Linked DNA regions of Caenorhabditis elegans. The protein of the gene in region 2 interacts with the protein of the main gene of each other region in a pairwise test. Each region holds a gene or a part of one and is shown on either strand. Other genes may lie near its edges.

Region 1 (4,765 bases), 4.7 Mb from region 2:
GGTTTTTTGAAAATAAAATTGAAAAATCAGAAAAAAAAGACTACAGTACCCCGATAAAAATATAAATTTATAAAAAACATAATTTTTGAAATTTAATTTATTTCCAACTAGAAAATTCTACATTAGGATTTTTTTCAGAAAAATTCCACAATTTAAGTTTTATTGAAATTTTAATTTAATTCCAGCTTCTGGTCCAAACTTCTTCCACACATCCGAACTCGTCCTCTAACTTCTATAAACTTTGGCACCAACTTCTGTACTGGAATGGATCAAAATTGGCACTACCGCCTGAGCACAGTGCAGCTTCAGCCTCAAATTTTAAGCTCCTTCTGCCACCAAGTAATTGACTCTACAGGACTCACTCTTTTTGGCAGAAATCGAAAATTTCTGTAAGTTATGAACATACAAAAATTTACTCATTATAATTTTTTCCAGACTATTCACTTTCGATTCTGTCAACTACAGTACCCTGACCATAACTTGCACTACTTCCAATTCAATTGACCTGCTTCTGAATAGATCTGAAATTATGGACAAAACCGGAGATTCCACGTGGCATATTGACAAGCCAGGAAATTTGGAATCCATCAGCATCTTGACATCAAGCAACGACGAAACTGTGATCGAAAACTTTTCCATTGATTCTAATTAAATAATTCTAATTTCATAAAAGTCAATAAAACAAATTTTAATGCACAATTTTAGATCAATTTCTGGTATATATGTACGTATATAGAATAGATTAAGCATTGTACAAGAATTAAAAGACTAGACATTCTAGCACACGGATGATGCACATATAAAATCGGGAAAAGGTGGCGAAAGTGAAATTGGAAGGGCGAGTTGTGGATAATCAGCGACAGAATAAGCATTCCAGATGAATTATTACTTATCCTGCGTTGCAAAGAATGGTTTTGTATCCCGATTGAGCAGTGTGTGACATACTTTGCACACATTGGCTGGTCGATGATTTGGTCCACTTGGAACGGTGTCTTTCAGGCAGTTCATGCAGAATATCCGACCACAATGAAGACAGCTAAAAGATTTGAAAAATAAAAGTGACTGAAATATTCCATGAAAAAGTAAAATAGTGCTATCTCTTATTTTTCGCACTTTTTTAAAAATTTTTCCTTATAAAAATCTGCTATTTCTGGAAAACTATGCGTGATTTTTTATTTTTCGAAGCCTTTTTTTAAAAATATTTTAGGTCGTTTTAAGAAAGGGTACCGAACGCTTGATTCATAATCACTATATATTTTTTTTCTTTTTAAAATCTTCTGTTTGACATATTTTAATTGGAAAAGTGTAAAATTTATTTTTGAAAATGAAGAAAATAATTTTCTTGTAATTTTTTATCAGAAATTCAAACTTCCATTTTCAAAAACTTACTGAGGTTTAACTTTAACTCTAGCAAACGATGTATCACAATTTGAGCATTGATCTACATCATCATCCCATTGCCATCGTACTTCTTGTTCCGACTGTCGAATCTTCTCCAATTGAATTTGGAGGCTTTGAGATAATTTCACAAAATCTCTCTGCACAACTTCAGATGTGTCGAGTTCTTGTTGAAGACTTGTGCACCGTTGCTTGTAGTTCTGTGCCGTCTGTTCAACAGCGGCTCTCTCATTTTGAACCTGCTGAACCTGCGTCTCAAGTTCACCGACAGTTGTTTGAAGATCTCTAATTTGTCTGATATTCGAATCTTGATCTGCAATTGTTTCCGATGCAACAACCATTCGAGTGTTGATCTTTCCTAATTCCGACTGCAATCTGCTGATCTCTGCAGTAAATGTCACTTCCTGATCTTCTCTGTGCGCTCTTTCTTCTAGAATCTGAGCTCGCAGGACGGTGATCTCATCCTGCAGCTGCTGCTCGGTGTGCTCTTTTGCAGCTCGAGTTTCTATCAATTCTTCCCTATTCTTGAGACAAATAAATTGTAATTGATCAAGATCAGCTGGCATATCGATTTTCTCGGACCGAAGTTCTTGTGCTGATTTTCGTGTGGACCCGAGAAGCTTTTTGTACTTTTTTCCTAATGTAACAAAGTCATCGTCGGCTTGTTGCAGTTTGTCACGAGCCAAATTCAATTGATCAGTGAATACTTCTATCGATTTGTCGTGCTGAAATTAAGCTTTTTTAAAAGTTATTCTTTTTATTTATTTAAAATACCTTCGCACTGAGCTCGTCCAGCCGCTGCTCCGACTTGGCATTTGCCTTTGCCGCCTCGTTAACCTGATTCAAACAATTAGTCGATAATTCGTTCATTTTCTTTTCCAATTCTTTTCGATAGTCTCGTTCATTGCTCAAATCCAATTGATATCTTTCGTTCAACTCCATTGCCGCCTTCACTTCTTCCTTTAACTTTCGTTCGTTTTCCTGCAAAACAAACAAAAATCATTTGCATATTTGCCGTGTTCCCATGATTCTCACCTGTAATGCAGTCAAATTCACTTCATAATTCTGGCACATTTCGCATTGAAGCGTTGGATTCGGTGAGACTTGCGAAATCTTTTTGGACGGTATTGGCGGCTCCTGAAATTTAAGGGTCTTTGAATTATCGATTAAAATGCAACACTCTTACCTCTGCATTCACTCCGGCAGACACTTCTTCGCTAGCCGACGGTTCTGTCATTTTTCTAGAAAATTCTTGATTTATTCGAAAAATATATGAGTCATTTGATTAATTAAATAAAAAAGGTCTCATCACAATGTTGGCAAGGACTAGGTTGAAAACCTAGGCCATTTGGTGACACATTTAAAGAGCATTAAACATAATAATCGAGCAGTTTTAGTATTAATTTCATTAAACGACTTCCAAGAGAAAAGTAAATGTTTTCTGGAGTGAAATAAACATATTTCATTCTGTTGAGTTATGAAAATGTTATTATATGTTTAATTTATTTTTTATTCATAAAAATTTAAAAATTTGTAGTAAAAATCATTCTATTTATAAACAATATATCGCTCTGAAAAATCAAGATGAACAAAATTTTATATATAAAATTTATAATTATATTCAAAGTTCAGAACATTTCCAGCTATTGTAGTTTTCTTTCCAGGACCCAAAAAATGATTTAAGCGTTGCGCCTTGAATACAGTACTACTCTACGTTAAAAATTGTTCTTTTCTTCTTTTCGATTTCTAAAATTTTCCGACGTTTTTTTCCTGTCAATTTTTTTTTCACTAACTTTCCTCAAATAATTCCTGATCTTTTCGCTTTTCTCATGTCTTCTCCATTATCTTTTCCTTCATTTTTGATTCTTTCTATTAGAAACCTTGATAACTATCACTGATAACGCATTTTTGATAATCAGCACCACATATTCTTCTCTCGAACTTTCGCCCAGTAGAAACTAACCGTTTATCGCTTATAGAAAATCATTCCAGATTCAAATTTTATGCAACATTTTGTCTTATCTTTTTTCATTTTCACTCCGATGGTAGTAAAATATTGGGCTCAATTCATTTTGAGTTTGAATCATGACAAAGAAGTCGTTTCGAAAAAATCGTATTTCCGAAAAATTGAAAGTAGTGTGCGGCTGCTATCCAAAACATGAAATTGAGCCCAATACCAGCTATCAACCCAAAAAGGTTTTCACTATTCTTTCTTTGTCTTTTCATAAATAAGTTTATTTAATTTAGATGGCCGCTGCTCTGAAACCAAGTGCTCCGGAGATCCGCAAAGCTGCACAAGAGTTCATCAACTATCTGAATAAAGCAGTTACTCCATTTCATGGTAATATTTATTATTTATTTTTATATTCAAAAGTATATCAATTGCAGCCACCCAAGAAGTGAAGGATCGCCTTCTACAAGCCGGTTTCACAGAGCTTCCAGAATCGGGTCACTGGGACATTCAGCCAACCAGCAAATACTTTGTCACCAAGAACCGCTCTGCAATTCTTGCATTCGCTGTTGGAGGATCTTACAAGCCAGGGAGTGGATTCTCGATTGTTGTGGGACACACTGACAGTCCATGCCTCCGTGTCAAACCAATTTCCCACCAAAAGTCTGATAAATTCCTTCAAGTTGGTGTATCAACTTACGGAGGTGGAATCTGGAGAACCTGGTTTGACCGTGACTTGTCGGTGGCTGGATTGGTTATTGTCAAGAATGGAGAGAAACTTCAACACAAGCTGATCGACGTGAAAAAGCCAGTTCTTTTCATTCCAAATTTGGCGATTCATTTGGAGACCGACAGGTATTTGAAATTTGTCACTATCGTCCTAATTTTGCAATTTATTTCTCAGAACAACATTCAAACCAAACACGGAAACTGAGCTCCGCCCGATTCTGGAAACCTTCGCTGCTGCTGGAATCAATGCACCACAGAAACCCGAGTCTACTGGTTTTGCCGATCCACGAAACATTACCAACAATCATCATCCCCAATTCCTCGGATTAATCGCGAAGGAAGCTGGATGTCAGCCAGAAGACATCGTTGATTTGGATCTCTACCTTTACGATACAAACAAGGCTGCGATTGTTGGAATGGAGGATGAATTCATTTCTGGAGCTCGTCTTGATAACCAAGTTGGAACATACACTGCGATAAGTGGACTTCTCGAGTCTCTAACTGGAGAGTCATTCAAGAATGACCCACAAATTCGTATTGCCGCATGCTTCGATAACGAGGAAGTAGGATCGGATTCCGCGATGGGAGCATCTTCTTCTTTCACGGAGTTCGTTCTCCGCCGTCTTTCTGCTGGAGGCTCAACAACCGCTTTCGAAGAAGCAATCGGAAAGAGCATGCTCATCTCTG
Region 2 (8,206 bases):
TGGTTTTTATAGACGTAAAATAACCCCGAAAGTGTGGATTTTTTATATGAAAATTTTCAAAAATATGTAAAAAAAAAGTTCAGGAGGTTGAAAATATTGAAAAAGGGCCAAATTCGCCTAAAATCTTCAACATGGAATAATTTTTTTAATTAAAAAAAATAATTTTCCGGTCGCCTGGACCAGTGAAAATTGGCCAAATTGAAGATTTTAAATTGCAGAATCTAGTTTTTTCTATAAAAATTTTTTTTCGAGAATTTTGGATGCTTAATTCAAATATTCACCAGCTTCTCCACTCATAAGCCTCGCTGGAATTGCAAATCTTGATATAAATTTGACATTTGATTGAATTAACGGCGGATTTCCACGGAATAAAACGTATATTAGTGTTGGCAGGAATTCGTCAGCCGATGTTGAAGCTTCTGAAAATTTTTGATTTTTGAAACAGGTGATTTTTTTTTGGTCTTTTGGGATTGAATTCATAAATATTTGGCTTTCTTGGAATTTTTTTCGGAAAATTCGTTCAGAAATTTTTTAAAAATCTGTTATTAAACTATTTCGATGAAATTTTACTCTTTTTTTTTCAAATTCCACTAACTTATTGTTAGGAAATACATTTTAAAAACAAAAAACCGGATTTTTGAAGTTTTTCGGCGAATTTTTTGATTGAAATTTTTTTTCCAATTTAATTTCCAATTTTTCCAATTCCAATAAAGTCCAGGAAATTTGTACGAAATTATGTTTGATGCTGAAAAAAAATTTATTTAAATAGAAAAAAACTTAAATTTCGTCAAAATTCCAAATGTTAAAAAAATATATATTTTTCCAAATTTTTTTTTCAAATTTCATGTATTTGAAATAATTTTAATTTGAAAAATTTAAAAAATTGAATAAAAAAGTTGTCTGAAAACTGGAAATTATACACTTTTTAAATAGAAAATAATTTCTTTTTTTTTCAGAAAAATAAACCGATTTTTCTGTTTTTTTTTTGTTGATATTTATCATTAAAATTTTTATAAATCTGTTCCAGATAAAATAAAAACTCACCACTCTCCTTAAGCGCCTCAAAAATCGCCTTACAAGATTTCGTCAAACAATCAAGCTTCTCAAATGCAGATCGTTTTGCATTAATCTCAATAAGTTCCGAAATAGCTTCATCAATTTTATCTCGAACCGTTTGTTTCTTAAAAACCATCTTAGTTTCCAGAAATCCAGCAGTAACCCAGTGAAGTGATCGAATACGGTCTTGCAACGACATATCAGCTACTTCTTCTTCATGATTTGCACAAAAGAATATTGAATAACAAAATGTTGATATATACTTTTCCACTTGGTCCATCACATCTTCCACTTTAACTTTACAATCCGGTGAATCAAATAACGAATGTCCACCGATTCGTTCTCCAAGATATTGATAATAACTCATTACAAGTTCTGACATATCATCTGAGCTCATTCTCATTTCTGAGATCTTATTCACCGCGTTTTTCACTGAACGAGCAATTTCTTGAGCCATTCCTGTTGAGAGATTCGCTACGAGAAAATCGGTGAATTGTTGACGGGCTTCCAGAGAATCCGGGGAGAGTTCTCGACGTCTGGAATGACTTTTATTTGGTTTACTTTGAAATTCAATTTGAAATGTTTGATATAACAAATTTGATAAAACAATTTAAGATTTCGCAGAGGTTAAATTAAAACAACTATTTTTTTTAATATAACAAATTTTTATTTTTGACTGAGTTTTTGATTTTTGAAACATGTGATCTTCTCGGTCGTTTGGTATTGAATTCATAAATATTTAATTTTCTTGATTTTTTTGATTTTTAAATGTAAAAAAAAACGGTTTTTATTATTGAAATACATTTCTGACGTCACAGCCGTATTAAAATACATGTTTGTATGTTATTTAATACAGTTGTGACATAATTTTTCTACACTTTTCAATTTTTGACACTATTTGTATAACCACATTTGTTTTTACTTTTTAAACGATTTCAGAGAAGTTTTCAGAAATTTCAGAATTCCAAGAATTTTAACAATAATCTAGGCTGATTTCAGACTTTAAAGGACATTTTCAGAGGCTTCTAGTAAATATTTCGTTTCAAACAAATTCCCATAATTTCCAAATTTTCTGAACATTTTTTCATGATTCTAAAAAATATTTTTAGAAAACTTCACATAATCCTTTATACTGTTTCAGACTATGCAAACAATTATTTTTGAAAATTTCAGATATTTACATTTATGATTTATATTTTACAGAATATGAATTTATACATTACAAAAAAATAAAATAAGCCGTTGATATTTAATTTCGGTATTTTTTATTTGCTTCGATTATTTGGGATATCTATTTTGGATAGTTAAACACCCGTTTATTGAACTTAGAATTTTTTTTATCATTTGGAAAATATCAGTAGGTTCTATTTATATCAGAGGTGGGCGGATATTTTTTCGGATATTTTCTAATAATGAATTTATCAATAAGTATTGATGTAGTTATTCTGGAAGAAATGTATCCGAACAAAAGAGTAACTATTAAGCAACATTTTAATATGATAAAACCTAGAAAAATTCTACAAGTTTTCTGTATAAACGATATGCAAGTCCATTATCCGATATCCGTAATATCCGTAATATCCGATATCCGATGTTGCTCGGCTAATAAGTTTTAAGGTCTCGGTAAGGAAAACTTGTAGAATTTTTCTAGGGATTATCATATTAAATGTTGCTTAATAGTTACTCTTTGGTTCGGATACATGTCTTCCAGAATAACTACATCGATACTTATTGATAAATTCATTATTAGAAAATATCCGAAAAAATATCCGCCCACCTCTGATTGGTATTTAATGATTTGAGAAATGCTGTAAATTTCTAAAGTCCAAATTTTTTGAAAATTTGCCATTTTCCCCCAGTTTTACTAATTTTTTTACTATTTGAAGCTACTTTAATTTCCCAAATTCCAGAAATAACGAATTCTTTTTTCAAATTGTCAATTTCAATTAATAGAAACTACTCTATTATGCCATGCAAATTTCATCTGAATATGCACTTTTCTTTTGTCCCACGAGTGGTGAGCACAATGACTAACCAAGTAGTTCATGTACTTTTCAGGAACAGAAGCAAAAAGTGTGCTCTCTCCGTGTCTTTCCAAGCTCGGCGAGCTCCTCTCAATTACATTTTCTTTTTTTTCTTCTTTAGGAGAGAAGCTGCTCTCGAAAACAAGGAGAACGTGTCAACGAGAAATGGAAAAAGGAAAAAGAATTCTCAGAATTGTTAGACAAATGAGTCAGTGATTAATTAGTTATTCATTCACAAGAAAGTTGAACTTTTTCTTTCAGACAAACATGTTCTTTGATATAATATTATGTGGCGATATGAATTTTTTATTACTTCCTGGAAACCGAAAAACACTGTTAGAAAATTTTTCCTTTTTTTTTCGATTTTTCTCAAAATAAAACCGAAAACTCGAAAAAAAAAATTGGTGTCAAATTTGCTCAAAAAAGGTGCAATTTTTTTGAATGAGAAATGCCAATTTTGGAGTGGTTTTAGGATTTTTTTTTGGGTTCTGCCAAATACGAAAATTGTTTGTATTTCGGTTTTGATTTAAAAATTCGAAATAAAAAACTTTTTTATCCTAAAGTCCTATAAAAATCGATTTTTTTCCACAAAAAATTGACTCCAAATCTAGTTAAAATAGCTAAAAATTTAATATTAAAAATCATAATAATTAATTTTTTTAGTCAATTCAAAAGTTATGCTTACTATTAGGGTTTTTTATACAATTTTGATCAGAAAGAGGTTCAAAAAAATTGATTACAAAATTGAACTTTATCTTAGAAATGAGATTTCAGGTACATATTAATACGAATTTTTTGAAAAATTGTTCTATACTTAGTGCTCTAGAAACCTCAATTATAGGCTAAAATTCTACTTTTAAAGTCAATTTTCCAGTGAAATTAGATGAAAATTACAGGTAATTTTAGAACAAAAAAACTCTGAAAAGCTTTAGAAAATTCAAAACTTCAGTTTGAAACTTGAATTTTCAGCAATATTCTCTAGGTTTTGAGCTAATTTTTGGTAATTTCCGCACTTTCAGACTGCTCTAAAAGCATTTTCTCTGATTTTTGCATTGAAAATCCCCCTAAAAACCCCATTTTCCAACTGAAAAAAGTCTCAAAAGATCGAAATCTAAGTGCCCTTAGAATGTAGTTCTCTCCTTCTTCTTACGCACCACTTCTCATTTTGTATTCGGTCACGCAGACAGAGAAAGAGGGGAGATTATACATCTAAAATTGCTCGTTTTGAACTCAAATTTTTCAGAAATTAATGTTCTTAGAATATATTTTCTTCTAGAAAATATAGCGTAGTGACTGAAAAAGGAATTGAACAAATTGCATATATATTTTTTCAATTTTGCAAAAAAAAAATCAAGCCATGTTTGAATTCCCAGGCAAACGTTGTTTCGAACTATACAGTTTTCAAAAATTGACCGATAATTTAAAACTGTTTTTCAAAATTGCAAATTTATGAAAAATTCTACTTTTTAAAGCATTTTTTTAAATTTCGAGAATATGTTTTATAAACCTTTCAAAATGAATTTCCAGGGTTTTTCAAACATTTTTCAGTCATTTTCAGACTTTTCCCTCTTTTTTTCCCAAATCAAATCACAAAAAATAACTCTCTATTCCCGTCCGACTAAAGCTCATCGTCTATTCGTATAGAGAAAAAAGTGGCAGAGATGCATAAATATATACACAGCAGCTGTATATAGAATAACAACTCTATCGTAAACAAAAAACAACAACAACCACTAATTCTCAGATTTTTTGCCCACTTTTTGACAGAAATTGGCCTAAATTTTAGAGTCCAAAAACTGGTAAAATTGCGGAAAAAAAGATATTTTAGAAAAAAAAACTTTAATAATCTTGAATCCAAAAACATCTTTTACGTCTAAAATAACCTAAATATGCTCGAAATCGCGGAAAAATTGGTTTTTGTTTTGCAGACAACGGCCTCAAAACTGGAAAAATAGTAGAAAATTGTTGAAAATTTGTCTGAAATCCTCAAAAAAAAATCTGAATTTTTATCTAAAATCACCCGAAAATCGGTTAAAATCACTTTTCCTGAATATTTTGTTTTAAAAAAAACTCGAAATTATTGAAAATTGGCTTTGAAAATTACAAAATCACTCGAAAACCAGTGAAAAGGTCTATAATTTGCTTTAAAATTTGAAAAAATCAACAGAACTTTTTTAAACCACCTAAAATTTTTTTTTATACTATAAAATTTCTTAAAAACCCACCGAGTTGGTGTGCTCGCCGGTGACGTGGAAGTTGGTGAACTGGTTCCGCCTTCTGAAAAATAGCAAATTTTAAAACTTTTTTCAAAAAAAAAATCTGTGGCCGAGTTTTTCTTTTCACGGCCACGTAGCAAAATCCCCACACTTACCTGGAATCGGAGACGTTTTAAACAGATTTTTGATGCCACGTGACTTGCTTTCTGTTGTCGATTTACGCCGCTCTTGGAATTGATCGAAACTTAGAAGAGATCTGGAAAAAAGGGATATTTGAGCGGAAAATTAGGTTTTTTTTTTTCTGAAATTTGAAAATTTTTTTTTCGAATTTTCAGCGATTTTTTCTTGGAATTTCAGGGGTTTTTTATTTTTATTTTAACGATATTTTTCTGAAATTTCCACGAATTTTCTTGGAATTTCAGGTTTTTTCTGAGATTTTAGATTTTTTCCTTATATTTCAAGGTATTTTCGTGGAATTATGAAATTTTTTTTTTAATTTTAGAGTTTTTTTTTTTGGAATTTTTCTTTAAAAAAGTATTCAAAATTCGAATTTAGGCATTTTTTTTCAATTTTTTACCTATTCTTCGCAAAATCCTGACATTTTTTCATCTCATTCTGATGAGCTCTCCAACATTTTGAGCAACGATTCTCCCACTGTGGGGTCCCGTAGAATCCGCATCCATTGACACATAACTGCAAAAAGAAATTGATTTTTATTCAAAAATGAATATAAACGATGCTCCGATATTCCGCCTTTAAAAATTGGGTTACTGTAATTTCAAAAAATCTTGATTTTTTAAATTTTCATTTATTTTTTTTATTTTTTCAGGAAAAATTAATATTGGAAATTTTAAAAATAGGAAAAAACTCACTAAATCATTAGCTTTTAAATGCATTTTTGCTTTCTTGTCCTCCTCGCCATGCTTATCTGACATTACTTTGTGGGGTGTTTGAAACTGAAAAATTTTTAATTTTTTCATGAAGAAAAAAACAATTTTAAAAATGAGAATTAAGGGTCGAAGAAAATATAAAACTACAGTTCAAATTAAAGAAAAAATAATTTTAACACAATTATTTTTCGAAAAATCACACAAAAATTGAAAATTTCGAAAAAAACTGACTTTAGAGATTTTGCGAAAGCTTATTAATTATTTTTTAAAAAATCTGATGTTTCAGATTAAAAAAAAATTAAAATTAGTTGAAAAATTGGATTTTTTTGATTTTCCAATTTTTTTCAATTGTATTTATTTTAAAAGTAAATTAAAAAAAACATTTTTTCCTTAAAATTTATAAATTATCTGAAATTTCTGAAGCTGAATTTCTAATCTAAATTTGAATTGAAGGAAAATGATAATAATAAATTCTAGACTAATAAAACATTACATCTTCGGCAAAAAAAATAAATTAAAGAGGTTTTTGAGCCAATTTATTTTAAATTATCCAACTTTTCAGTCCAATTTTCAGTGAAAATTCAATTTTTAATCAAATCAAGTTTTTGGAAGTAAAAAAAAATAAATTTAAACATAAAATCTAGAATTTCTGTCAATTTTTAATTAAAAATCGACCAAAAACCAAGAAAAATGGACCCAGGAGGGTTCTATTGGTGCTAAAGTTGTCCCCGTCTGGCAGGGAAACTCAAGCCGAAGATGGAGGAGGGCTCTACGCGGTCACAAGTTCGCTTCTCTGCGTCTTCACACTCTCATCCTCGATTACTCAGTCTTCATGGAAGCTCCGCCTCCATCGTGCTTTGAAAGCTGGAAACAGCTGCTCGTTCTGAAAAGATCGAGAGGACATACTCGGAAATCCGATTTTTTCGGAAATTGGTTTTCAGAGCGTGCCACCAGCCATGAACTTTTGAATACATACACAATCTGGGGGAATTGTTAGAACGAATACAATGAAAATTTCCTGGAAAATGGGGATTTCCATGTGGATCAATCAAAATTTTGAAGAAAAAAAGCTAGTTTTCGAAGAAATTTTTTGTTTTTGTGTTTGCCCATCAAATTCAACTTATTTCGGAGTTTCCACCAAATTTTACAGGATTTTTCTTTCAAATTTGCAAAAAAAAGTTACATTTTTTAGCAAAAAACTATTTTTTGTTTAAATTGTTCTGCGCATTTTTTAAATCTTATTTTAGAGATTTTTTCTCGGATTACAAAATTGATTTATTACGGTAACACAAAATTCTGAGAATGCGTATTACACAGAACATCTGCCGCGCAAAATATCTCGAAGCGAAAACTACGGTAGTTCTTTAAATGACTACAGTAGCACTTGTGTCGATTTACGGGCTAGATTTTTGTAATGAATTTATTTATCGATAGAACATTTTTTTAAAAAGCAAAAAAATGAGACTATTATCCGAAGAAATATTCGAAAAGAAATTCATATCAAAAAATCGAAAAAAACTAATTTTTCGATATGAATTTGTTTTCAAATATTTCATCGGATAATAGTCTCATTTTTTTGCTTTTTAAATAAATGTTCTATCGATAAATAAATTCATTACAAAAATCGAGCCCGTAAATCGACACAAGTGCTACTGTAGTCATTTAAAGAACTACCGTAGTTTTCGCTTCGAGATATTTTGCGAGTCAGATGTTCTGTGTAATACGCATTCTCAGAATTTTTTAATACCCGTAAAAATTCCTAAAAATAATTACGTGGGGATTTATCGATTAAAAAAATTCAAAACTTTTGACGTGGTGTTTTTAAGTGAAAAACCGTAAAATTGAATTATTTCAATATTTTCAAAATGAGCAGCGAAGGATCGATTGTTCCTATCAAACTTGCACAACGATTTATTGTAAGAATTTTTTTTTAATTTATTGATTTTTCCGCAATTTTCCAACCAAAAAACTAGTATTTAATCGATTTTCTTTCAGCACGTTATCGATTTTCATGCGGATC

What was found.
Region 1: the proteins of rabx-5 (region 2) and rabn-5 interact in a two-hybrid assay, tested with the Caenorhabditis elegans proteins (one study listed by BioGRID).

Annotation. Positions count from the first base shown.
Region 1 is NC_003281.10:5,862,427-5,867,191, reverse strand, and holds rabn-5 (FYVE-type domain-containing protein), read right to left. Parts: upstream 2,640-4,765; 5' UTR 2,636-2,639; coding exon 2,585-2,635; intron 2,536-2,584; coding exon 2,434-2,535; intron 2,380-2,433; coding exon 2,173-2,379; intron 2,124-2,172; coding exon 1,390-2,123; intron 1,037-1,389; coding exon 886-1,036; 3' UTR 653-885; downstream 1-652. Other genes in the region: eng-1 (mannosyl-glycoprotein endo-beta-N-acetylglucosaminidase), read left to right, coding at 186-389, 436-652; dnpp-1 (Aspartyl aminopeptidase), read left to right, coding at 3,484-3,594, 3,646-3,739, 3,787-4,204, 4,254-4,765.
Region 2 is NC_003281.10:10,603,395-10,611,600, reverse strand, and holds the start of rabx-5 (Rab5 GDP/GTP exchange factor), read right to left. Parts: upstream 6,232-8,206; coding exon 6,169-6,231; intron 5,990-6,168; coding exon 5,874-5,989; intron 5,553-5,873; coding exon 5,452-5,552; intron 5,358-5,451; coding exon 5,306-5,357; intron 1,602-5,305; coding exon 1,045-1,601; intron 420-1,044; coding exon 282-419; intron 1-281. Other genes in the region: Y39A1A.2 (Reverse transcriptase domain-containing protein), read left to right, coding at 8,052-8,102, 8,182-8,206.